Cricetulus griseus: one gene and its partners. The protein of the gene in region 3 interacts with the protein of the main gene of each other region in a pairwise test. Links are inferred from orthologs where the notes say so. Each region holds a gene or a part of one and is shown on either strand. Other genes may lie near its edges. The genes, in order: gamma-crystallin C, Crybb2, Cryab and Lbh.

What was found.
Region 1: the proteins of Cryab (region 3) and gamma-crystallin C interact in binary tests that used the Homo sapiens proteins (3 or more experiments, as listed by UniProt). The link is inferred for Cricetulus griseus from reciprocal best matches to the Homo sapiens genes CRYAB and CRYGC.
Region 2: the proteins of Cryab (region 3) and Crybb2 interact in a two-hybrid assay, tested with the Homo sapiens proteins (2 studies listed by BioGRID and IntAct). The link is inferred for Cricetulus griseus from reciprocal best matches to the Homo sapiens genes CRYAB and CRYBB2.
Region 4: the proteins of Cryab (region 3) and Lbh interact in a two-hybrid assay, tested with the Homo sapiens proteins (2 studies listed by BioGRID, with this or other methods). The link is inferred for Cricetulus griseus from reciprocal best matches to the Homo sapiens genes CRYAB and LBH.

What each region holds. Positions count from the first base shown.
Region 1 is NC_048595.1:419,054,596-419,060,416, forward strand, and holds gamma-crystallin C, read right to left. Parts: upstream 3,410-5,821; coding exon 3,401-3,409; intron 3,309-3,400; coding exon 3,066-3,308; intron 1,854-3,065; coding exon 1,578-1,853; downstream 1-1,577. UniProt on the Homo sapiens protein: Crystallins are the dominant structural components of the vertebrate eye lens.
Region 2 is NC_048597.1:92,698,612-92,704,896, forward strand, and holds the start of Crybb2 (beta-crystallin B2), read right to left. Parts: upstream 4,193-6,285; coding exon 4,139-4,192; intron 1,493-4,138; coding exon 1,374-1,492; intron 1-1,373. UniProt on the Homo sapiens protein: Crystallins are the dominant structural components of the vertebrate eye lens.
Region 3 is NC_048597.1:162,498,457-162,504,533, forward strand, and holds the start of Cryab (alpha-crystallin B chain), read left to right. Parts: upstream 1-2,173; 5' UTR 2,174-2,261; intron 2,262-2,301; exon of another isoform or gene 2,302-2,775; intron 2,776-2,836; exon of another isoform or gene 2,837-2,973; intron 2,974-3,072; exon of another isoform or gene 3,073-3,344; intron 3,345-3,404; exon of another isoform or gene 3,405-3,462; coding exon of another isoform or gene 3,463-3,522; exon of another isoform or gene 3,523-3,599; intron 3,600-3,671; exon of another isoform or gene 3,672-3,795; intron 3,796-5,433; 5' UTR 5,434-5,664; exon of another isoform or gene 5,665-6,077. Other genes in the region: Dixdc1 (dixin), read right to left, coding at 3,463-3,467. UniProt on the Homo sapiens protein: May contribute to the transparency and refractive index of the lens. Has chaperone-like activity, preventing aggregation of various proteins under a wide range of stress conditions.
Region 4 is NC_048600.1:10,684,968-10,691,044, reverse strand, and holds the start of Lbh (protein LBH), read left to right. Parts: upstream 1-1,939; 5' UTR 1,940-2,210; coding exon 2,211-2,236; intron 2,237-4,877; coding exon 4,878-4,980; intron 4,981-6,077. UniProt on the Homo sapiens protein: Transcriptional activator which may act in mitogen-activated protein kinase signaling pathway.

The DNA of each region.
Region 1 (5,821 bases), on a different chromosome or scaffold from region 3:
TAGAGAAAAGATATAGTGATTCACAGACCCTCCAAACAATTCACACAACCAAGCTGTGAAACAGAATAAGATATTGACTCTATACTGTATTATATTTTAAGTATACCATACATCCCTGCACAGTAACACACACACATACCCCTATAATTCCATCTTTATGAAGCTGAAGTTAGAAAGATTGAGAGTTCAAAGCTAGCATGAGCAACAGAGTGAGATCCTACCTTGTAAATAAACAAGCAACAAACAAACATTGCAAATCAATATGTATTATCTAATTTCAGCACTGTGTACAAGGGAAAAATTCCCCAGAAGGGTGCCTGCCAAGTATATACAGGGATCATCAATCAAAGGTATCAGAAGGATCTTTTTACTTCCATTCTGGTAGATTTTGGGAAGTGTTAAGGTTCTGAGTTAGCTGTGATGGTTAGCTTTAATTGTTGTGGTTTGAGTGAGAAAGCTTCTCCATAGTCTCATGAATGTGAACACTTGGTCCCTACTAGGTAGAACAGCTTAGGGAAGGGATTGGGAGGTGTGGCCTTGCTGGAGGAAGTATGTCACTGGGGCTGGGCTTTGAGAATTTTCAGACTTAGCTCATTTCCAGTTTGCTCCCTGTTCATGCTTTTGCAGTTGAAGATAGGATCTCTCAGTTTTTTGCTCTGGCCTGCTGCCATGCCTCTCCTGCCATTATGGACTCCCCCTCTGGAGCTATAAGCTTAAATAAGTTCTTTCTTCCATAAATTGCTTAAGGTCATGCTGCCTTAACCACAGGAATAGCAAAGTAACTAATACAGTCAACAGTTTGACTCAACCTAGAATGACTTGTGAAGAGTCTCTCCTCTTTAACAAAGCAGGGTTTTTCTGTGTATCCCTAGATATCCTGGAACTCACTCGGTAGACGATGGTGGCCTCCAACTCAGAGATCCACCTGCCTCTGCCTGCTGGATTAAAGAAATGCACCATCACTGCCCTGCAGAAAAAGAGTCTTAGTAGAGGATTGCTTAGCTTGGGTGACACTCTGGCGAAGAATTTTTCTCCCTGGGAGTGGTTTCAGAAGGGAGGGGGTTTTAACGTTGCAAGGATAGTGGCAGCCAGCCCTAGCCTTAGGTACATAATACTGGGCTCTATAGTAAACAAAATTCCCCAAATAGTCTGGAGAGGCTGTTTGTCAAATTGTGTCTCCAACCACTTCTGAGATTAGAAGAAAACTTCGACTATATTGTTCTTCAAGAGTTTCAGCTAGCTGACTCCTCCCTAATAGTCACCCTTTTACATACCTTTGCCTGGATTTGCCCTTTCTTTGTTAGGCAGGTATAACCCCACCCCACCAGGCATACCCTCCCCCCACCAGGTATAAAAGCCCTATCACTGAGGTACATACATGCATTCCCAGCCATCTAAGACTTGTTCAAAGTTTAAAAGTTCTTGAACACCTTAACTTCCCCGCTCTCATCTCAACCTTTAAACAGGTGGGTAGATTCGCACACAATGAAAGAATAGCAGAAGTCAGGGTTTGCCAACAATACAGACTAAATACTTTATTAGGTTCCAAAATGAGAAAATGGTAGTGTTAACCTATTTTAGTATAAATCTACCACCCTTCGCAAAGAGCCTGCCTTAGCGTCTACAGCACCCCAGTCGTGGTAGCGCCGGTACTCCTGAGGCCTGAGCAGGTACTGCCGGCCTCTGTAGTTGGGCATCTCATAGAGGACCCAGCAGCCTTCCAGCACGTGCAGGGAGCGCACCTCACTGAGGTGGAAGCGGTCCTGGATGCAGGCACAATCTTCATTCAGCTCCATCATGAGGCCTTTATGGTCTTCTCTCTCATACAGCCGCATCCTGTGGGAACCAGTCTGCTTGGGTAACAGAAAGAGCAGAAAAAGGCATTGAGCGTCTTCCAGAACTTGTGGCTGGCTGGGCGGAGGGGGGAAGGGGGAGGAGCTGCCGGTGTAATATCGGAGCCTCTGAGATTTAGAACTGTGCACTGATAAATCTGCTAGCAAGCGTTACAAACTCCTACATGCCCAGTTTCGGTTTTTCATCTAGGAGGTAGAATTTTTAACATGTTAAAACTGTATTTCAGCCAAAAATTCAAATATCTTAATTCCCAACTCTCTGTGTTCATTCTACGTTGTATGTTGGCAAATATAAATAATGGATGTTGATTAGTATTTTTTTTTACTTTTGTATATGTTTATATACATATACGTTCATCGTTATAATGGGATTTTTTCAAACTTACATTTTATGGTTTTTGAGAATTTCATACGTTAGTCCTGAATTTACATCATTCCCAGCTGTCCCATTCCCCTGATTTTGTAATTCCCTAAACTGGCTTCACACTCAAGATCCTGTAGCCTCGGCTTCCTGGATTACAGGGAATCAGTATGCCTGGCTAGTGTAGAGTTCAGAAAACTTAAATAACTTATGTGAAAAGTTAATCTAGAATTTAGATGGTTTTCAAAATTAAGGAAAATTATCATTTCCAAAATTGGTCTCTGTTTTTACACAGTTTTTGATCACCATACTTTTCCATGTTTCCTACCCCACAGTAATTAACTCTCTTATCAGAAATTCCGTTATAGGTTAAAATCAATCTGATAGGCATAATGCCTTCTCTTGACCAAGCAGCCTCCCATTTACCTAAGTTGTCTCATATACCAGCATAAGACTGCATTCATTGAGAAAAGTTTTGATTACCTAATTGTAGCAACTATAAAGTGGACTTTTTTTCTAAGTAGATTCTTCCTTATAATTCTGTCTTCCTGGTTGTGTCCCTTAGGCAGACACTTCATTCTTAAGTACTTTTTTTGTTTTTGTTTTTTCGAGACAGGGTTTCTCTGTGTAGCTTTGGAGCCTATCCTGGCACTCGCTCTGGAGACCAGGCTGGCCTCGAACTCACAGTGATCTGCCTGCCTCTGCCTCCCGAGTGCTGGGATTAAAGGCGTGCGCCACCAATGCCCGGCACCCTTAAGTACTTCTACAGACAAGGCTTACTCTCTGGACCCCACATCAGTAAAACAGTGAGGACCCTTGGGCAGAAAGAAATAAAGCCAAACAGGACTCACGTGGGGAATGAGGCGGCAGGAGCGGATGGAGTCGCTGAAGCCCATCCACTGCTGGTAGTCAGGGTAGTCCCCGCGCCGCAGGAAGTACTGGTGGCCTTGGTAGTTGGGGCGCTCATAGAGCATCCAGCAGCCACTGTCCACTCTGATGGAGTTGCAGCGGCTGAAATAGGTCTGCAAGTTGGGGCAGTCGCTGCTGCACTCATAGCAGCGGCCCTGGAAGCTGCGGTCCTCGTAGAAGGTGATCTGTAAAGGAAGAGCAATTCTGGATGAGATCATTTTCTCCTTGTGTGAAGGCCGGTCCCTCCGACTCTTTGTTTAGTTTGCGCTCTGCTCACCTTCCCCATGGCTGGCTGACCGTGGTGAGTTCAGTGTCCAGCCAGAGAGCGGCGGGTCTATATAGCAGGAGGGCTGCTGCGTTAGCGGAACAGCACAAAAGGGGCCCTCGGGGCTGAGGGGATTTTTATGGATCGCTTTTCCATGCTGCATTCAGTGGCGGTGATTGCAGATTCGCTTGGTTCTCTGGTGTGTTCCAACGCTGCCCTGGACGAGCTGCTGGGTGTTTTATTTGGATTCTTACTGTTTTTTAAATTTATCAGCACATCAGCCTGAACTTTTGACCTGAAGTCCATGCCCCTACATTTTGATTCTATTATACTTGGTAAGTCTGGGGGAAACCTGTACATTTGTAGAAGTGCCCCCCGAGTCGAGAGGGCTGGAATTTTGCAAATATTGCAAATGTTGATTAGTTTCCTAGTACGACAGAAACTGGTCACCGTTATTCCTTCTTCCTACTTATTTTCTTTACAGCATTTGCTGGTTCGTTCAGCACACAAATCTAGATTCTAATCGTGGCTCTTCTCTACTGTGATGCTCAGGACCTAGCCACGAGTTTCTCCTTTGGTGGGGGCATACTCTGTGATGCAAAATCAGTCCCCCCCCCCTCGTAGTCAGCTTGTGTTAAGAACAAAGGGAAAGTTTTGTACAATCGTGAGGTCCAAGACTGACAAGTATGTATGTATTGCTCCTCATTTCCAAGGTCAGGGAGAAGGCCTAGACTTTCCTGTGAAGAGTGAGATTTGAACCCACGTTGCAGGGACACCATAAATCACCCCTCAGAGCAGGAATTACCTTGTGGGAGAGTGAAGGATGAGAAGGAAAGAAAAGAACAAAGCAAAGAAAAAAAATGAGGAGGAAAGGACATCTCTGTCATTTGGCCACTGTTGGGTCACTTCCACCCAGGACCTATTAGATATAAATAGCCTTAGTAAGTACAAGTCAGACAAGGTTATTCAGAGTGAGTTTGTCTGAACAAAGACAAATCCAAAGCCAATATATCACCCACAGCATGCTGAATGTCACCCTTCTCAGCTGGAATGACTAACTACTACTTTAAAATACATTTTAGCATGTTTGTGAATCAAATATAATATAGCTCTCATAGATGCTGGGGAGAGTTCTGCAAATGAACTCTCTCTCTCTCTCTCTCTCTCTCTCTCTCTCTCTCTCTCTCTCACACACACACACACACACACACACACACACACACACACACGTTACCCTTGTGCCCCAGGCCTATTGCTTCCTTATTTATGGCTTTGTCTTTGTTCTAGCATCCCTCTAACATGGGCAAAGGTTAATGATATGACCAGTGTCTGTCTCTGTCTCTGTCTCTGTCTCTCTCTGACAGGGTCTCACTATGTAACCTAAGCAAGCCTTGGACATACTGCAATTCTGCAATTCTCCTGTCTCAGCCACCTTGGTGCTGTGATTATAGGAACACACTGTCAAATCTGGCAAATTTCTCAGCTCCCCCCTTCTTCCCTCCTTTCCCCTCCACTCCACTCTTTCTCTGTGTATGGCAGTGGTGGGAATTGAACCTAAGGCCTTATTCATGCTAGGCAAGTGCAAGGGCGTGGTCAGGCACACCTGTAGCCAGCCCCTAAGTAGGCGTGGCTACAGCTTCCCCTACACTACCCCATTGAGATTCTCCACCTAGACCTCCGAGTTTTTAGAGCTTCCTTAAACCACAGCATCAAGGTGTACATCCTAGACACAGCTCTTATAATGTCAGCCATCTGAAAACCATCCTATTTCCTCAGCATATGTGCTCTCTCTGGAAGCAACAAGTCATAAACTTAACTGGTTTACAGGCAGGCAATTGAGATGTTTAGCTGACAGACATTAGCATTCATAACACCATCTGGTGCAAATGAACACTGGTAATGCTAGTGACATTGACAATAGTGTTGGAGTGACATCATTGAGGATGTCAACCTGGTTCTCTGACCAAAGATAGTGTACTCAAAGGTTCCTGAGCCATTTTGTGGCTGAAAAAAAAATGACACTTGGAAAAGACATTAGAAATCTTATGGGGGGGGGGGAGCTGGAAAGATGGCTCAGCAGTTAAGAGAGCACTCATTGTTCTTCCAGAGGACCCTGGTTCAATTCCCAACACTTACATAATAGCTCACAACTGTCTGTAACTCCAGTTACAGGGGATCTGAAATCCTCACACTACATAAATGCCAGCAAAACACTAATGCACATAAAAAAATAAAAAGGAATCATCATTGTCTTAGTTAGTTTTATTTTTTTATTTATTGCTGTGAAGAGACAATATGACCACGGCAACTCTTTATAAATGAAAACATTTCTTTGAGGGGGCTCACTTACAGTTTCAGAGGTTCAGCCTATTATCATCATGGCGGAAGCATGGCAGCATGCAAGCTGATGTGGTGCTGGAGCTGAGAGTCCTA
Region 2 (6,285 bases), about 70 Mb from region 3:
TGACTTACAACATGGAGAACATTGTGGTGCCTCCTAACATTTGACAAAACACTGTACAATATCATTCAAATATCATGTTTCTTAAAAAACCACAAATGCATGCACAGGGAAAAATCTACACTTATATAAAAATCTTAATGATGAATATTTCTAAAGTGTAAGCTAAAGTCAAAATTGGGGGCAGGGGACACAACTCTTTGCTAAGTTATTCCTTCTTAATATTGAACACATATTTTAACCGATATGCAAAAACTATTTTTTCCCTAGAATTCCAACACCAGGGAGTTCAAAACCCACCTGGGCTAAGTAGTGAGACCCTCAACAAAACAAAAGACCCAGAAAACAATTTTTAAAGTTAGTTTTAAAACTCAAGACATATTCTGAGAAAGAGTGTTAATGTAAATTAAAACAGTTCTCTCTTTTTTCTTTTCTTTTTTTTTTTTTTTTTTGGTTTTTTTGAGACAGAGTTTCTCTGTGTAGCTTTGGAGCCTATCCTGGCACTTGTTCTGGAGACCAGGCTGGCCTCGAACTCCTCCTGCCTCTGCCTCCTGAGTGCTGGGATTAAAGGCGTGCACCACCAAGTCCCAGCTTACAAAACAGTTTTGAAGGGTGTGGCATAGCTCAGTGATCGGGGATTGCCTTGCAAAGGCGAATCAATGGGTTTCACCCTCAGTAACCCCCGTCCCAACACACACAACAAATCAAACACACAAAGGCTTATTTCCAATATTTAAAATATTTGGGAAATTCTCCCATCAAAATAGCAAAAGTAGATGAGGTCAGAAGTATTCAAAGGGTGAAGACCCATGTTCTACAGAGGCAGAGCCTAGTCCCCTGTACATGCTAATAACTGTAATTGTGCAAGTCTGTTAGACTCAGACATAAGTATGTTGTCACACTCAGGCCCTGACTGGTACAGGCTCCTGAACCACCAGATGTATACCGACTTCTTGGGGTCACTGTGTCCCCAAACTCATAAGACATTTACAAAGGAGGACTGAGGGAGATGAGTGACACAATGGCCCTCATGCAACTCATTGCTTGGTGAGGGGAGAGGCAGCCTCCATAATTACATCCCTTTTCTCTTGAGTAGAGACAGGACCTGAAGGATGACAGCAAAGGTATTGGCTACGAAAAGGAAACCAAGTATCAGAGAGGGAAGTTAATGGTCAAATACCACATAGCCTGCAAGTCCCCTTAACCAGGATTTGAACCCAGCCTCCTAAGCACAAACTCCCTCTGGGCTGCCAAACCCCAAATCCTGCCTCTATCACACACAACCTAGGAACACAGAAAGGTTAGATATCCCCAATTCAACATCTCAATTACCAGGCTGACAGTCCCTGGCTAGGTGAGACCACCCAGATACTCACGGTCCAGCCTGCACCAGGACAGAACCTGCCTTCTCCATGCCAGTCTCCTTCAGGTTGGGGCAGGGTCCGCTGAGCTCATGAGAGTGGCCCTGGAAGTTCTCCTGTTCAAAGATGATGATCTGGAAGGAATGGGATAGAGTCGGACCGTGGGAAGAGCAGGGGGTGAACAGGTAGCTCAGAGAGCCCCAGGATTGCAGACCTGAGGGCTGGAGACTTGGAGCCTGAAGGTGCTGCTTTCTGAGCCTCAGTTTCCCTGCCAGTGAAATGGGTGACAGAACCAGCCAGGGGCAGGGAAGCTGTCAAGATGGCAGGCAGAAGGTTCAGCTCAGGCGTGAGAGACTCCTTTATGTCTGTGGAGTTCTAGAGACAGAACCAGGGCCAGATAGAACTCTACACATCCAGCAGCCACACTCCCTCTAAGCAATACCCCAGCTACCCATAGTGCATCTGCTACAGATCAAAGCTAGGTACATGGCCTGGACTTGTGTGATATAGCAGAAACTAGAGGGCAGCTTGCAAACTGAACATGCACACCAAACCTGGGATCTTGACAAAAGGTAGTCTCATGGCACTGCTTCTGTGGTGCCGCACCCCATATTCCAGATGCCACTTGGCTCCCAGGAGGTGGCAATCAGGAGGTGTGAGATACCCCTCTACAGACACCACACACCAGCTGTCTCCCGGAAACACACACATTCCTGGGCCCTTTTCCTCAAGCCTCTACCCCTGGAGGTCTCCAGGTCTCCCTATGGCCACCCAAGTGAGATGGATCTTACTAGAAATCCCCCCACTCTGTGCCTTGTCCTGTCTCCTCATCTGGCCTAGGCAGGGGTCCGGTGGAATCCCAACAAGGATCCTGGGACTCTGCAGAGTGAAGAGACCCACTCAAGGCCTCACAGCCATGAGCTAAACACATTTACAACCACACCTGGAACAGGGAACCTTTCTAGCCACTCAGCCCCAAAGACGGGAGCCTGCAGCCACCTCTGGATGAAGAAGTAGACAGGAGGGATACGTACAGGGTCCCTAAGTCAGCACTAGCTAGAGAAAGCACTTCTGTTTCCCAGGCTGGGGATTAGTGAGATAAAAGAAGTAAAAGCAGTGGCCAGGAGGGCTCAGGGGCAGATTCCATGGGATCAGTTCAGCCTTCATGGTCACTGACCCCTCCAGGCACAGAAGCAGGAGACATGGGCTCTGGTTCCCCTGCTCTGTGTAGCCCAAGGAGGAACTGTGCTTTCCAGAAGGGCAGTCCAGTAAACCTGTTTGCAGGGGCATTGAGAAGGCTCTAGAAGTCGGGGTAGGGTAGGGGGCTCAGTGGCCATTACCTAGCCTGGAATATAAGGGCCAGTAGGGAAGGGTCAGGTTCTCCGTACACTTGAGAAGCCCTGGGTCCCAGGAGTGCTGAACCCTGCTGCTGGTGTAGAGAAGACAATAACAACAACAACAACAACAACAACAACAACAACAACAGCAATAATAGTAACAGAGTCTAGATTCTTTCCTATTGACCAACCCTGTAACCACACACTACCCAGTGCAGAAGCCACTAGCTGCACGGCCCTGAGCATGCAGTCAGCGCTAACTGTGTGCTGTTCATAGGAAACACAGATTTGAAGACAGGCAGAGTGGGAATGAACTGTTTAACAAAGGAGACTATGGAAATTAATCACCCGTTGCCTTTTATAACTTTCACTGTGACCATTGGAAGATCTTAAGTTACCCGTGTGATTTGTAGTATATATGAGACATCTCTGTACATCTGTGATGTCATAAAACGTGTGACATCACTGTGTATGTATGTGATGTCACCGTGTGTGTGACATCACAGTGTGTGTGTGTGTGTGTGTGTGTGTGTGTGTGTGTGTGTGTGTGTGACATCACAGTACTGAAATGCTGTGTGCCCTGCACCCGGTGGTCTCATTTTTCTTCAAACTCATCCAACTTGTTGGCAACCTCGGGTCCTTTGCTTGTGCTGTTCCCACTACCCCAGTGGCCTCACCATTCCGAGCCCCCTATTTTTACATGGCTGCTCCCTCACTTGACCCCAGTCACCTCCTCATGGAGGTCCCCCCTAAAGCACCAAGCTGACCCACTATTTGCTGTGAACTCCAGCTCTGGGGATCCCTTAAACTACTTAGTGTTAAATGCTTTTCACTCCTTCAGGCTACAGGCCACCTCAAGACAGTTTGCTGACTGTCACTCACTCAAGGAAATGGAATGAGGAGGTTTAGCTGGGCCAGATAGGGTGTGACCAGCCTCGGAGAGGCTGGAATAAGCTGCCTCTGGAGTGTGAGAGTCAGAAAGTGAAGCAGACGGTCTGAGCTGGCATGGGCAGCGAGGACACATAGCTCTCTGGTAAGACGCTGAGTCTGGTTTCTGGGCCTGCACAATTGTTCTATGTGTAATTGATGCTCCCTATTGTATAGGCTGATGTTCAGAGATGTTAAGCCACTGGCCTGGGCCACACAGCAGGAGGGGGCCTGGAAATCCTCTTCAGTTGGCACTGAGTCTCTGCCAGGTCTTTGGGAGTCCCGTGGGTGATAGCATGTGGGGCGGCAGACAAGCAGAGACATTTAATTCTCTAAAATCTGAAGCTGATGCCGGGCACTCAGGTGGGTGGGGAAGGGCACAGGGAATTGGCCCCAGGTGTGCAGCTGGGGGAGACTGAGTCCCCCGAGGGACAGGGCTGAGAACGAGCACCAGGAAGGAAGAAGTTGACTGGGCATGTAGATGTTGCCTGCCCTTCCCTCCAGCAGGATACCCACCTTGGGATTGAGGGGCTGGGGCTTGCCCGCCTGTGTCTGGTGGTCTGAGGCCATGGTGGACTCTCTGGTGTCAAGGTGACCTGGAAGAAATGAGGAAGCTGCATGAGGACGCTGCCGTAGGAGCCCTGAGCCAACCCCAACCCTCTTCTCTTTTGACAGGGTTTTTAGATTGTTCCAGAAGCAGCCACCTGGGCTCTGTCTTCCCCTACACTATGATCCAGCCCTGATCTAAGTGGAAGAATCCCCCTTCTCCCCTCAGCTCCTCTCCTACTGCTCCTCTCCCTGTTGCTGGACTCCTGAGCTATGGAATCATGTTGGAAGGTTTCCCCGCACCCTCTTGCAGTTCAACAAATTTTCTACCTTTAGGTGTTTAACTCAGCTGATCCATTCCAAGTGCTTGCTCTGCCACCAAGGAGCTGAACAGGCGCCCATAAGTCCTGCCCTCTCTCTGCGCCTCAGTTTCCTACTCTGTACACCAGGAAACCAACAGAGGTGCCTCACTCTCTCTGTGTGAACTAGGACTCCATACAACTGTGTACATCTGACAGGGCCCCGTAATACACTTGGCACCCAGGAAGGGACAGTCAGGGTGACATAGTTAGGGCCATTTCCAGTGGGATTTAGTGACACTAAAGTCACAGTGCCCAGAAACAGGTGCAGCTGAGTTCAGCTCACAAGTTTCCCCCAAGGCTGGCTCAGCGGAGCCACAATGACTAGTCAGGAGAAAGCTGGCTCCAAAATCTAGACACAGTCAAGGTCGGGCCACTTCTGGTTCCTGAGCCAGACACATCTTCCTTCCCGGTCTCCAGCAGAAGAAAGGAGGGGCCTTTTCCAGGTGCTGGCTGTGCACCAGGTCAGTCTATTGTGTTGTTTCCTAACCCATGGCAGAGGGGCTTAGACTGCCCCTCTCCCCACTTAACAGAAGGGAAAACTGAGGCCAGGTACTGGTCTCTGTGCCATGCTTTCCAGCAAGAAGGAAAGAAAAGCAAAGAGCTGAGCAAGCAGCAGAAGCCTCCTTACCAGATCACCAGCCCCGGTGAGTGCCGTGAAGCCCAGCTGGTGGGAGGTGGTATTTATACCTTCCCCAGGGGAGCTGGTGCCAAGATGGGTGACTGCTGCATCCCTGCGGAAAGCAGGGTGAGAATGCAGGCTAAGCCTACACCAAAGCCTGGGTCAGCAAATGCCCATAGACATTGTGTCTCCACACAATAATGTCATTAGCTTTCAGATTCGGCTGCGCCAGTGTGTCAGGCGGCTGGGCAAGACTGTGCCCACTTTGCATGCATCAGCCATCCCGCTGCCAGAACGGGGCCATGCCAGGTTCACAGATGCAATCACCAGGCCCTGGGGCACAGCAGACAGAAGCCTTCCCAGTGTCTGTAGGGCAAGCAAGCAAAGAGGGACTTCAGGAAGAGACCAGCATTCATTCATTCATCCACCCATCCACATACTCCCATGCCAACCTACCTGTTGTCCATCCATCCATCCATCCATCCATCCATCCATCCATGCATCCATCATGCACTGTCTTGACTAGTTCTATGTCAACTTGGCACAAGCTAGAGTTATCTGAAAGGAACCTCAATTGAGAAAATGCCTCCATAAGATCCAACTGTAAGGCACTTTCTTAATTAGTGATTGATGTGGGAGGACTCAGCTCATTGTGGGAGGGGCCATCCCTGGGCTGGTGGTCTTGGGTTCTATAAGAAAGCAGGATGAATAAGCCATGGGGAGCAAGCTAGTAAGCACCTCCCCTCCATAGCCTCTGCACCAACTCCTTCCTCCAAGATCCTGCCCTGTTTGAGTTCCTGTCCTGCAGGGACAATGCAGGACAAGAGGCTGGCTGAGAAGACTGAACTTCTATGGATGCTGGCTGCCCACACCTACTGTCCTTCAGGAGATGTGCCTTGGATCCTGGTCCCAACGTGGGAGAAGAGTCTCTCAGAACTCCACTGCTGGCCCATCACTGTCCTGGGCTCACATCCTCGAGAGTGCATGTCTTCCTGCAGACCAGGCTCTGTCTTGACCTTCAATCCAAGGTCAAGAAAGAGAGGAGATGTGCTGAGGCCAAGCTAGCTGATTCCCTCTCTCATCCAGTTTCCATCCTCTCGACAGCCACAGATACACACACACACACACACACACAC
Region 3 (6,077 bases):
ACCAATACTAAGTATCTTGAACCAGGTGTTGAGGGACATGCCAGCAACTCCAGCACTGGGGAAATGGAGGTAGAATGAATAGGAATTCAGTAATCCTTTGCTACATATGGAGTTCAGGGACAGCCTGTGTTAGAAACAACATGCCTGGGATGTGGGTCAGTGAAGTGCTTGCTATGTAAGCCTGAAGATGCAATGTCCAGCACCTACTTAAAAAGCCAGGCATAGCAGCACCCAGCTGCAATCCTGGCACTGGGGAAGCCGAGACAGGCAGATTTCCAGAGCTCGCTGGCCAGACAGCCTAGTGGAATCAGTGAGCTCCAGGTTTTGTGAGAGACCCTGTCTCAAAAAGTAAGGGGAGAGTAACTGAAGAAGCCATGACATCAACTCCAGGGCTGTGCACACATAACACACACCACACACACAACAAACACACACACATAACACACACACACACACACACACACACACACACACACACACTATAGCTTTGAAACAAATGCAGAATAGCCAAGGTGGGTTACCAATGTCAGTAGCTAAAATAATAATTCAGTGAAAATCAACCATGTCAATACAAGAGATTGCTTTAGCATCACTGACATGAATCAATTCTGTGACTTCTTTGCCAGGCATGCTGAGGCCAGGACTCTAGGTGGGCAATGTGATTGAAGGAGATTCGGTCACACACAGTTATATTTAGTGACATATGGATTGAAGAGGGACCAGCAATAAATAGAGGGAAGCCTTGATTCAAAGGGCAGGGTTTCTCTCTGCTGCTGGATTTCTCTATAATTAACCAATTAAGGCCATCTCCCTGTCTCCTGTGGGAGTTTTCTCTGCCAGGGAGAATGAGGTTGCAGCCCTAACCACACAGACCTATAATAAACCATCTGGGTGATGAAGGATAGCTTCAGATATACTTAGATTATTCCCAAGAGGTGGCTGAATACATGTGTGGTATTCTTAGTCTCAGTAGAAATAATTTCTCAGAGGAACTAAGTGTATTCTGACACTGTCTTTTAAGTCCCCAGTTAGTCTTATCACATGACTCTAGCAAAAGAGATTGAATGTTACTGGGCCTATTAAGCAACCTTGAGCCTGGAATAGATCAAACAAGGCTCCCACCAACCATACCAATTGCTTCACTTGTCCTGTTATTCAGTAACATGATTGTGTGATAGTATGGGGGTGGGGTGGGAAGAAGAAAATGTATTATATGAGAATTTATGTTAACTAAGGAATCATTCAAATTTAACATTAATATTTATATTATTTAGAGGTATAAAACCACAGTGCTATTTTGTTTTTCAGAGTTCAAATCTACTAAGGACTCTACTACTAAGGAGAACATGAGTCTGCAGAGAGAGCAGTTTATGGGAAGAGTAGACAATTCAAATACCACAGGAGCATATTACTGAATGGCTCTTAACAGAAGAATTGATTGCAAAGTTGTCTGACTGTTGCTTTTAGAAATATTCTATTACCAGCACAGGAAGAAATATCTTTTACTCCCCCTTCCCCTTGTTTTGGAAGAACTGTGCTGTTATGCAATATTTATGTAGAGTCATGGAAATGATAGCCAGGCCACTTCATTTTCACATGGGTCTTCAGATGAAGATTTAGAAATGAAAGACCAGCAGAAAGCAAAGACTAGGACTTGGCCCTGTGCCCGTCACCTTCTAATCAGAAGGTGGGTCCTGACACCAAAGAGCCGGGTTAAAACAGAGAAGGGGGAAGGGCATTGGAGGACCAAGGGACTTTTGCCACAACTGATGAATGGGTAGGATTTACACAGCTAAGGACCAGAGAAGGCCCTGGAGCAGAGAGTGAGAAGAGATGAATGGGAGTACTGGAGGCACTTAAAGAGGTGTGTTTCCTGACTCTTCTGTGTTTCACCTCTGGGTCTGTAGCTCTTTGTTAACGATTCCCTTACATGTGTTCAGTGAGAAGTGATGCGAAGATGAGGAGGCCAGCCATGCAGGCAGGATACAAGCTCTGCCCTTTGATGAAGGTTGTAACACCCCTCAGCCAAAGGAAAATTCCAGCACAGTTGGTCACACTGGCAGAACATTTCCGTTGGATTTTTTTTCTCTGTCTGTGTCAGGAACAAGGCTGGGGCACAGGGTGGGAGGAGGGCAGAACTGGGGTAGGTTCTAAGGCAGGTCACAACTCAGGGCTTCTTAATTAGAAACAGCGATCAAGGAGGGAGCCTGTCGTGCAGCTGGAGACAAAAAAAAAATCCTACATGGAAATTCATGAGAATGGTTGGTTGCCTCTAGGGGAAAGGTTGGGAAGGGGGTGGAAGCAGGGAATGGCACAAAAGACTCTTCCATCTTGCCTGTAACGTTAATATTTAAGAAGAATATCAGGTTAGGGTGTAGCTCAGTGGTCTAGCCCCTAGTCATATGCAAGGCCCTAGGTTCAGTCACCAGTGCTGGGGGTGGAGGGTTATATTTTCATATGTTATCTGACTAAAAACTGATTTTAAAAGCACAAGTTGCTGCCTTAAAGGGTAGAGGAGTAGGGCAGTGGTAGAACACTTTCATAGCATGCCCAACCCCCTCCCCCAAGAGATCTTAAATTTAAAAATTCGATGGAGAAGGGAGAGGTGCACAGAGGGAAAAGTGGGCAGGAAGCCATGACCAATAGCCTAAGCCTTCCTGGCTGCTGGGCTAAGGCAACCAAAAGGATGAGTGAGGAGGAGTGGGGGCAAATGGAATGGCAATGGTCTCAAACAAGAATCGACTGGATCACAAAAGAAGCAAAAGGAAGAAAGAGGTAACAGAATTCTGAGAGAAACTTGTGAGGAGAAAATGAGCCTGAGTCAAGCCTAGCTCACCTTTCCTGTTAGATTGAGGATCCCCCACAGCAGTTCTCACAGAGGGGAGCAAATATTGGCTCCTGAAACTGGGCCTGTGACCCAGGTTGCTCCTCTCAAACAACCTTGTCCTGGGTGGTGGAGGACATAACGGCGCAGGACTCAGGGAATTCACACGTGGAAAGGACCACCCGCAGTCTCCTGCCCTCTCAAACTTTCTACCAATGCCACACCACCACACCCCTCCCGTGACTCATCCGGTTAGCTCCTGAAATAGAAAGAGCTAGCTGCCTCCTGTTCAGGGCTTCCCTCAAGGATGTCCCTGGAGAGTCCCCAAGAGGCGTGGGGACCACCTTTCCTGCAAGGAGATGCCTTCTTAAGTCTGTGGTCCTCACTGTCCTCGGCACTCAGGAAGGTAATCGTTCAGCTTAGAGAGAGGCCCACCGCCCTTCTGATGCCCTCAGGTTCCTGCATCTATCTGCACCGCACCCACCACCTTGGCTCTGTACCCAGGCTCTTCAACTCTGACGTATGATGTGTTCTGGGCTCCCCCAGAGGATGCCCCCCGCCCCAGGATTCCCTTCCGGAGATTAGGCGGGAGGCGTGGGGTGACGGGGAGCTGGGGGTGGGAGGAGCAGGGCAGTTACCTCATTGAAGCCCTCCTGCAGGACGTCCAGTAAGTTCCCGCGGGTCAGGCAGGCTAGCATTGTTCCTGCCGTGGGGCTCCCCGGGTGGGGTCGAGCCGCCTCCTCCTCCTCCCTCTGCACACAAAGGCAATCGGCTCAGCTCCCTGGGATCTCTCCTGAGTCCCGCATGCCACTTACTGGAAACCTAGAGCCGAGCCAAACTAGCGGCTTGCACTGGGCATGCTCGCGCGCAGGCCGCAGCCGGAGGGGCCCTGGCGCCGTGTTGGTTCCTATAGAAACAGTCAGGCGCGCACGGCAGGCACCGAGAGGCAAGCGGCCAGCCCCGGGCAGCCCGTGAGTGCGGGGGAATCCGAGGGCGCGCGCACACGCTCCGGACTGGTGCGCGCGCACGCGCGCGCGCGGAGAGCACTCACACACGCGTACACACCTACACACCCATGCTGACACAAGTGGGCTTGCCAGCACGAGCATATGCTTACAATCACTACACTGCAGGTTTGGAGACGGGCATCCCCGCGCGTGCGCACGCACACGCAGGCGAACACACACACACACACACACACACACACACACACACACACACACACACATTCACTCTGCTCTCTTAAGGCTGCTAGCACCTCACCACACACACACACACACACACACACACACACACACACACACACACACACACACACACACACACACACACACACACATTCACTCTGCTCTCTTAAGGCTGCTAGCACCTCACCACAAGGTGGATGGGAAAAGGAGTGAGTCACAGGATTCCCCCACCCCATTCTTCAGCAACCTTTTTCCACATGTGAGGCAACCTAACAGAGGAAGTAGAAGGGCAAGAAAAAAAAAAAGAGGAGGAATCAGGAGAGAGCGGCTGGGGTGGTGGTGGTGGTTGTTGGGGATGTAAGTAATTGAACAGTGCTAAACAAATCATAACATCACAACAAAAACATCAAAGATGATTCAGGATGGCCATGGTTTTACCACATGTATCTCTTCTCTCTTTTCAAAATAATTGCTGTAAGGGGAAAGGTGGGCAAGGTGGCTCAGGGGATAAAGGCTCTTGCAGAAGCTTGGCACCTGAGATCAATCCAGGAACCATGTTAAAGGTGGAAAGGGAGAGCTCACTCTTCTCTGGTACATGCACCCATATACACATCATGCTGTCTCACACATTAATAATTAATTCTAAAAATAAAATAACTGCGTGGTGGTGTACACCTGTGATCCTTTACTGGGAGCTCGAAGCAGGGAATCGGAAGTCATCCTTGGCTGCATAGCCAGTTTCTGGTCAGCCTAAGCTATGTGTGATCCTTTCAATAACATATATATATATATATATATATATATATATATATATATATATATTTCAGGCCTGGCACTCTAGAAGCAGAGACAGGAAGGTCTCTATGAGTCCAAGGCCAGCCTGGTCTACATAGCAAGTTCCAGGCCAGCCACAGATATATAGTGAGATTTGGACTCAAAAAAAGAAAGGCAAACCTTATTTTAAGGGGTTTTTATAAGTGTTTTTAATTGAAAGAAAGCACCCAAAATGCCCTGGTACATTGACAGGAAGTGTAACAGGACTTCTCCCTTCTGCGACCTGGCTGAGGTCACCAACTCAATTGTTTATTTTTAAGAACACTAACCATTTGCATGTTCAGAGAAAACTGATCTTTGAAAAAAAAAAGAAAGAAAATCAAAAGTATGTCCACATCCCCTCCCATCTTGTGGTCCTAGGTAGAAAGGAAGAATTTACACAGTGCTAAGACCCAGAGAAGTCAGAGCCTTGTCCAAGGACACAGCTGCTCAGGGACTCGCAACTCAATAATCAAGGAATTACAAACCACTTTATAGCCATCCTGGGTGCACCCCCCTCCCCGCCCCCAAACCCCATTAGGACAGCACGAAGAAAAGTCACTAATGAGCTTATTGAGTCTTAGCTAACCTAATAACCTCCTCTTCCAGGCACTGGAGAAAAGGAAAAACCTTACTTGGGGCAGCCTGACTGGATATCTAAAGCTGCTGAAAACCAAAGCCTCCTGGAGAAATGATGGGCCTCTGACCACAACAAGCAGGAAGCAGAGAGTCAACGTGCATTGAGCCAGTTGCTCTGCTGGTTGAATCCCGTGGGTTCCACTCTGGCTGAAGCTGGGAAACAGCTGTAACACCCAGTCAAACTAACTCTGAGCAGCTGGGGTAAGTCAGAAGACCTCTCCGTCCTTCACCATTTAGCTGGGGAGTGTCACTGCCAAGATTCCTCGCTGTTCCTTCAGTCCGTGGCAGACTCATAAACCAGTGCTTGAGGCAATGGAGCCCTTTATAAACAGAAGCACAAAACTTGCAGGTGCAAAGAACTGCATGGCACATGCACATATGCAATGATGCACAACCAAAATGTTCAGTTGATGACTTAGTGAAGCATCAGACAGCAGCCTGCAGACCGTCATCTATGCCAGGAGATCACTGCTTCTCAAAAATCGGTCTGTGATGAGAGCAATACATGTGAACGCAATGCTTTGGAGGGAAGACTCACTAAGCAACCGATTTATCATTTTAAGTCTTTTGAGGCAGGGCCTCAGGTAACCCTGGCTGGACTCCAACTTCCTAGT
Region 4 (6,077 bases), on a different chromosome or scaffold from region 3:
AAGTCACTACTGTAGAAGGAGACCTCATTTCACACCCTCTTCCCCAAAAGGGCTAGTTGACTTCCATTGTGTGTGGTGGTGCCAAGAGGGTTGACACAGCTTTCTAACTTTTGATAGCTCCACTAGGTAATAATCACAAATATGTCAAGTACGTCTGTGACACAGTGGTACTATAGCCTTTCATCCCAAGCCTTTAAGGGATTGCTATCCAGAGACACGGGTGGAGGCTTCCTTCTGTGAATCTCAGGGCCTGGTTCAGGGACCAGCCTCATAAAATTGCCAGAAAGTCTCAGCCTAGAATCTAGCTCTCCAAACATTGGCTCCCCAGGTGACATCATGTCACATGACAGCCAATGGCACTGAGATGTTTTCCACCCTATTAAAAGGTACAAGTGACCCCTCTTAATAAGGCACCCTGGACCATCTTCCATCAGCACCTATTCATAAAAGCTGGCCCTCCACCAGACCCCACCCCCAGGTCCTGAATAGTATGAACAGCTCTAGATTTATCTCGAGGAGTAGGGACAGCCCCCTGCATTTTTCTTGTTACAGTGCTTATGAAATACTGCTCCTTCAGAAAGTCCAGCTTTTACTCTGGTTGAATATGTGATTGGGGGAAAAAGTACTTACTGCAAAAATTGTTCTTACAGATTTATTTTATGTTTGGATTAATTCAAGGGAAGTGTAGATACTGAAAATTATGAGGTCCCTTTTCCCAACATCCTCATGGCCCTGCCACTAATACCCCCTCTCATGAATCTAGCAGTCTTTTACTAGGGAAGATCAGTGTAGTTCCACTTTTCTTTCACGGTTCAGACTTATTTCAACTCGCATTTAATTGTGCTTAGTTTTTGACCACAGCTCTCCCTTTCCCCAGCCCCTTTATGCGCATGGGTCAAGGTTATGAAGCTGTTTTACAGGAGTAATTGAAACAGAGGCCACAGAGGGGCAGCGCTGGGTACCGAGTCCTGTCTTCTTGGCTCTGGGGCCGCACAGCAGTTTAATCTCCAGGACAGACACTGGATCTGCAATTCCTGGGCAGTGTAGGACTCAAGTCTCCTGGAGATCTTTGTGTTTGCTGTCCGAACGGCCCTGGGAGCTAAGGCTAGTGGGGTGTGCTTGCAAGCTGCGCACTCTCACCCCCTACTCCCAACCCAAACGGTGTATGCGTGCGTGCACGATTGTGTGTGTGTGAGAGAGACTCCGTGTGACTGTGTGTGTGTGTGTGTGTGCGCGCGACTCTGTGTATGCGCGACTCTGTGTGCGCGCGCGAGTCTGTGTGTGTGTGCGCGCGCGCGCGTGTGTACACGAAAGCGCTCCCGCGCAGTGGAAAAACCCTAGTAAGACACCACATCCTTTCTCCCACAAACAGAACCCTCCAAGGACCCCAGGACTGAAGACTTTTCGAGGAGCCAACATGCAACCTTCTTTCCCATCTTTTTCTTTTCCCTGATCGCGCCCGGGGCGCTGCTATGATCCCCAAGAGAGGCCTAGTTTGCATGGATGACCAGTGAAGAGGGTCCTGAGATACGGGAGTCTCAGAGAAACGCGGCGTCAGGCGCTGGGGTGGAGGAATGACGCCCTCCCCAAGCGAGCTGACACGTCCCGAGTGGGCCCCAACGTCTTCCTCACGCCCACCCATCCCTGCAATGTTTAGAGTCCCGGGTGTGCGCGGGGAAGGGGCTGCGGACACTGCGGATCTGTGGACAGGAAGCCGCGTTGACATTGAACTCCAGCTCGGGAACGCGCGTGAGCCGTGGGGAGGGGGCCGGACTCGTAGCTGCTGCGAACCAGCTCAGGCGGGGTGCAGTGCCGGGCTGGTCCCCGCCGCCGCCTGCGGGAGCTGCGAGCGCTGAAGCCATTCATGATTTTGGTGACGTTATTCTAAGAGTGGGCGAGGGGAGGCGGAGCTGTTCTCGGACAAGCCCCGCCCCCGCTCCTATAAATGCGGCTTCCCGGGCTCTTTGTGGGACCCGGAGCTCAGTGGAGAGTAGGGAGCTTCGTCTGCACTGCCGACGCCGCTGGCAGCGGGGCTGTCTGGGGAAGTCGGACCCGCGATCGCCCTGTACCCGCTCTCGGTTCTGCCCGCTGCTCTCTGCGCCCATCATCCTCATTCGGGACGCAGTGACCGTTTTGGGGTTTTTGTGTTTTTGTTTTTGTTTTTGTTTTTTTTAATCACAAGGGCGTGGGTCAGCCTCCCCTAGGACTTCATGTCTGTATATTTCCCCATTCACTGGTGAGTATACTGCGCCTGCGGTGGACGCCGGTTTAACTCCGGTGGTTGCGGGGCCCCGCAGCCTCCTAGTGCCGGCTCCGGGTGCGAGGCCAGAGAGTGGCACGGACACCCAGTGCTGGCTAACCCGCCGCCTCAGCCCCTGCAGGAGTCGACGTCAAGGTTGCAAAGCTGGGGGTTGGGGGAGGCGGTGCTGAGAGCATCCAGACAAAGGAAGTGAACTCGGAACCTTCACTTAAGTGGCGGCCAGAGGGTGTGGATATGGTGGCGATGGGTGGGGGAGAACCTGGGTCCCCGCCTGAAGCCCCCTAAGGAAACCCTGTCCGCAGAGGGTGGCAGGAGATGAGTCCTGCCTGGTGCAGGGGGCTCTGGCTCGCCCGGCCCCTCCCCTTTTCCTTTTTGTTTGCACGCAAGTCTCGACGTCGAAGACGGCTGCAGCCGGGTTGAGCTGATGCAGCCGCCCGGGTTGCAGAGCTTGGCGGGGGGGGGGGGTGAGGCTGGAAGACGCCCTCCGCACACGCAAGCCACAAGCAGCAAGGTACACGCTGCACCTTCTCAATCCCTGCTCTCCGTGGCCCCTAAAATCCAACGCGCCTTTGTGGAGGGCCCGGGTTGGGGAGGAGGGGCTCCCCCAGTGCCAGATTGGAAGAAGTCGGTCACAGCTGGGTGGGGGGCTGCAGAGGTTTGCCTCCAGCCGGGAAGAATCCGGTTGTGGGGGATCAGATCCCGGGAGGGACCTAGCTGCTGGGACGTGCGCGCCAGCTGCTTCTTCCTTCCTGCTGTGGGGTAGAGGAGGGGCGCTACAGGGAGATGAGCACCCGTGGTCCTGGAGCCCGCAGGTGCTGGCCTCAAAGAGCCGGTGCTAGGTCCAAGGCAAGCTCTGAGCCCAGGGAAAGTGGGCCCTAGTCACGGCGCTGTTCTGCTTAGCCCAGGAACTCTGAAAGTTCATGTTTCTCGTTTTAACTTTTTGGGCCCAGCCAACAGTTCCAAGAAAGAACAGAACGCCGCTAGAAACCTGGTCGCGGCCCTGTGGATACTCTCCTGATTCCCTTCTTTGGGGTTTGGAGGCATCATTTCCAGACCCGGGAGGAAACTGTGAAAGTCTAGCTTCTAAAGCTATACTTGCCCATGTCAGTCACCCTCTCTTAGTGTCTCTGCTTATCCCCGTCCCACCAGTTTGGTTTTGATTAGAGAGAGCACTGCGTTTCAAAAGAAAGTAAAATTCCCCTACAATTGGAGCTTGTGTACCCCCTCATGTTCAGACAAGTCAGGCATCTTATGGGTGAGGTTTTGAAGAGTGGTGGAGGTGTGCCCCCCACCCCCCACCCCCCGCCGCTCAAAATTCAATAAGGTAGATAGATGTTCAGAGCCCTCAGGGATATTAGCCCCCAACTCACCCATTAAGGCTTACGATTATTTTGTTCTTTAGCACTTTCTACGATGTCTGCAACATTTTCCCCTCCAGACATTAACTATGAGCTATGCATTGTTAGCATGTTGGTAATAAACAGAGCTTCTGCAACTCAGAGAGGTTCTATGATCTGAAAAAGATCACACAGCTCTTAAGTGGTGAGGGCTCTCAGAACTGAATGCTTTTATTGCTAGGGCCAAATACCATTTCTACTCTATCTGGTACAAAAAAAAAAAAAAAAGATTCTTGTCTTCCTGTTTTCAGAAATGTAGTCTCTCTAAAGCTCTCTAAAGCCTGCCCCTGCCTTGCTTTTTCCCCCTTTTAAAACCACGTACACAGGCGTGATAATGAAAACACTGGGTGTTGTTGTGAGTACCTGGATTTGGTAGGTATGTATTTGGCACTATGCATACTGAACCCTGTGTGTGCCCATGGCCTGTGCAAGGATAATAGACTGTTTGTACTCTGCTTAGAGAGTACAAAGTACTTTCACATGTCAGCTATTGGTGGACCAACTTGGCCCCTCTGGAAATTTCCTTGCAATCAGAATAGGTGTATCCTTCAGGCTTTTAATCCAGGGGGATGTTTTTCATGCTGGGAGCTAGTAGCAGCAGCTGCTAGGGCTACAGAAGGGGGTAGGATGGCAGAAACTTGGGGAAAAGCTGTCCCCTTGGGGTGGGGCATTTTGCCTAAAGGGGCATCAGACAGAGACAGTGAAGAAGGCTCCATGATTAGACTTTGTCTCCCTGAGGAGGCTGGCCTGTTGTTGTTATGTAATTCTACTGTGCAGTTCCCATTGGAAATTCATGGGCAAGATTCCTTTCATTCTTAGTGGAAGAATGACGGGAGACCTAAGCTGTGTTAGTTTCATAGAAACACACACACTCAACTACCTATCGTGTGTGTGTGTGTGTGTGTGTGTGTGTGTGTGTGTGTGTGTGTGTACTCAATGTGTGTGGTTTCTAGTTTAATAGAAAATCCAAGATTGCTTTTGTGTAGGGTTTGGTGGTGGGGGAAGGAAAAGTTGTGGAGTGGGGACTTTGACTGTCTCTGGAGATGAGCAAGCCACAGAGCTGTGGGTTTGAAGGTTGCTTCCTCAGGTGAAATTGTTTTGCTGTGAGCTGTTTGAGCATCTCTCATCCTATCTTTAGCAGTCCCCTGATCTCAGGGCCACAAAGTTGCTAAGAGGAGAAATGTGCCATATGTTGACTTCTGGTCTGAATTTCTTTGCAGCACTGACTATCTGAGATCTGCTGAGATGACTGAGGTGATGATGAACACCCCATCCATGGAAGAGATTGGCCTCAGCCCCCGGAAGGATGGCCTTTCCTATCAGGTGTGTTCAAACTTTTTAGGGCCTTGTGCTTTTCTCTGGGAATGGAAGTAAGCATGGTTTGGGGAATGCCAATATCACCTGTAAGAGTTTGAGGATCCCAGTATCACCTGTAGGAGCCATGTCACCTTGAGAAAGTCCTTGACTGCCAGTGAGCCCCGGTTTTTCATTTGTAAAATGAGGCAGCAGTGGTCTGAATCCTGTAGGATTGTGATGAAGAGTGAACAGGATGAGAGGGTGGGTTTAAGGCATTTATATATAGTGCCTGGGACACCTAGGGTCAGTAGACAATCACTGACATCATTATCTAGCCATCCTGATTCTCCCAATAGCAGCAGAACTCTCTTCTCAGCCAGGCCTTATGCAGTAAAAATGCAGCTGATGGGGAAGAGTGGTCTGATAGGAGAATCGCCACCTGTGTTTTCAGAGTGATAGCTGACTGGCAGGTTCAATGTTCATGTTTAAACTACACAGAGCTGAAGAGGACACTTTCTTAGGGATGCTGATACCAGAGTGTAGTGTAGGGATCATCCTGTCTAGTGGAGATAAATACAAACCACAGCAAAAAGAGAGTGGGAGGCACCCTTTCTTGCTCTTTAAGTGTGGGGAAACCTCAACATCACAGGGAAAGTGGTGGATATCACCTCAACGAGCAACAGAGCATTTAGTTACCTCCTGGAGAGACAACTGATTTTGGATCACCTGAGAGTCCCTAAATTGCCAGTTTTGGAGGAGAGAAGTATCTGTAAAAGAATATTTTGAGACCCAGGTATTATGTACAGTGGCCAGCCTAGGCAAGAGCCTAAAGTACAAAACAATTTGTACACATTAGTTTGTCCATTTTCTGCTGTAGCTCCCAAAGGAACACCCACCCACCTTTTATACTGAGGCCCTAGCCCAGCTCTGTTTCGAGACTTGGATCTCTACTCCTGATGGTTTTGATTTTCTGATGTAATCATGTCTTCATACTGGGCTAGTTCTGCTTGAGTGTAGACTTACTCCAGCTGCTTATTCCTTAGAGCTGTTTCAGGAACATTTCTTTTGTAGAGAATGAAACAAATAGAAAAGCTGGGATGGGTGCCATGTGATGGGAGGAGAGT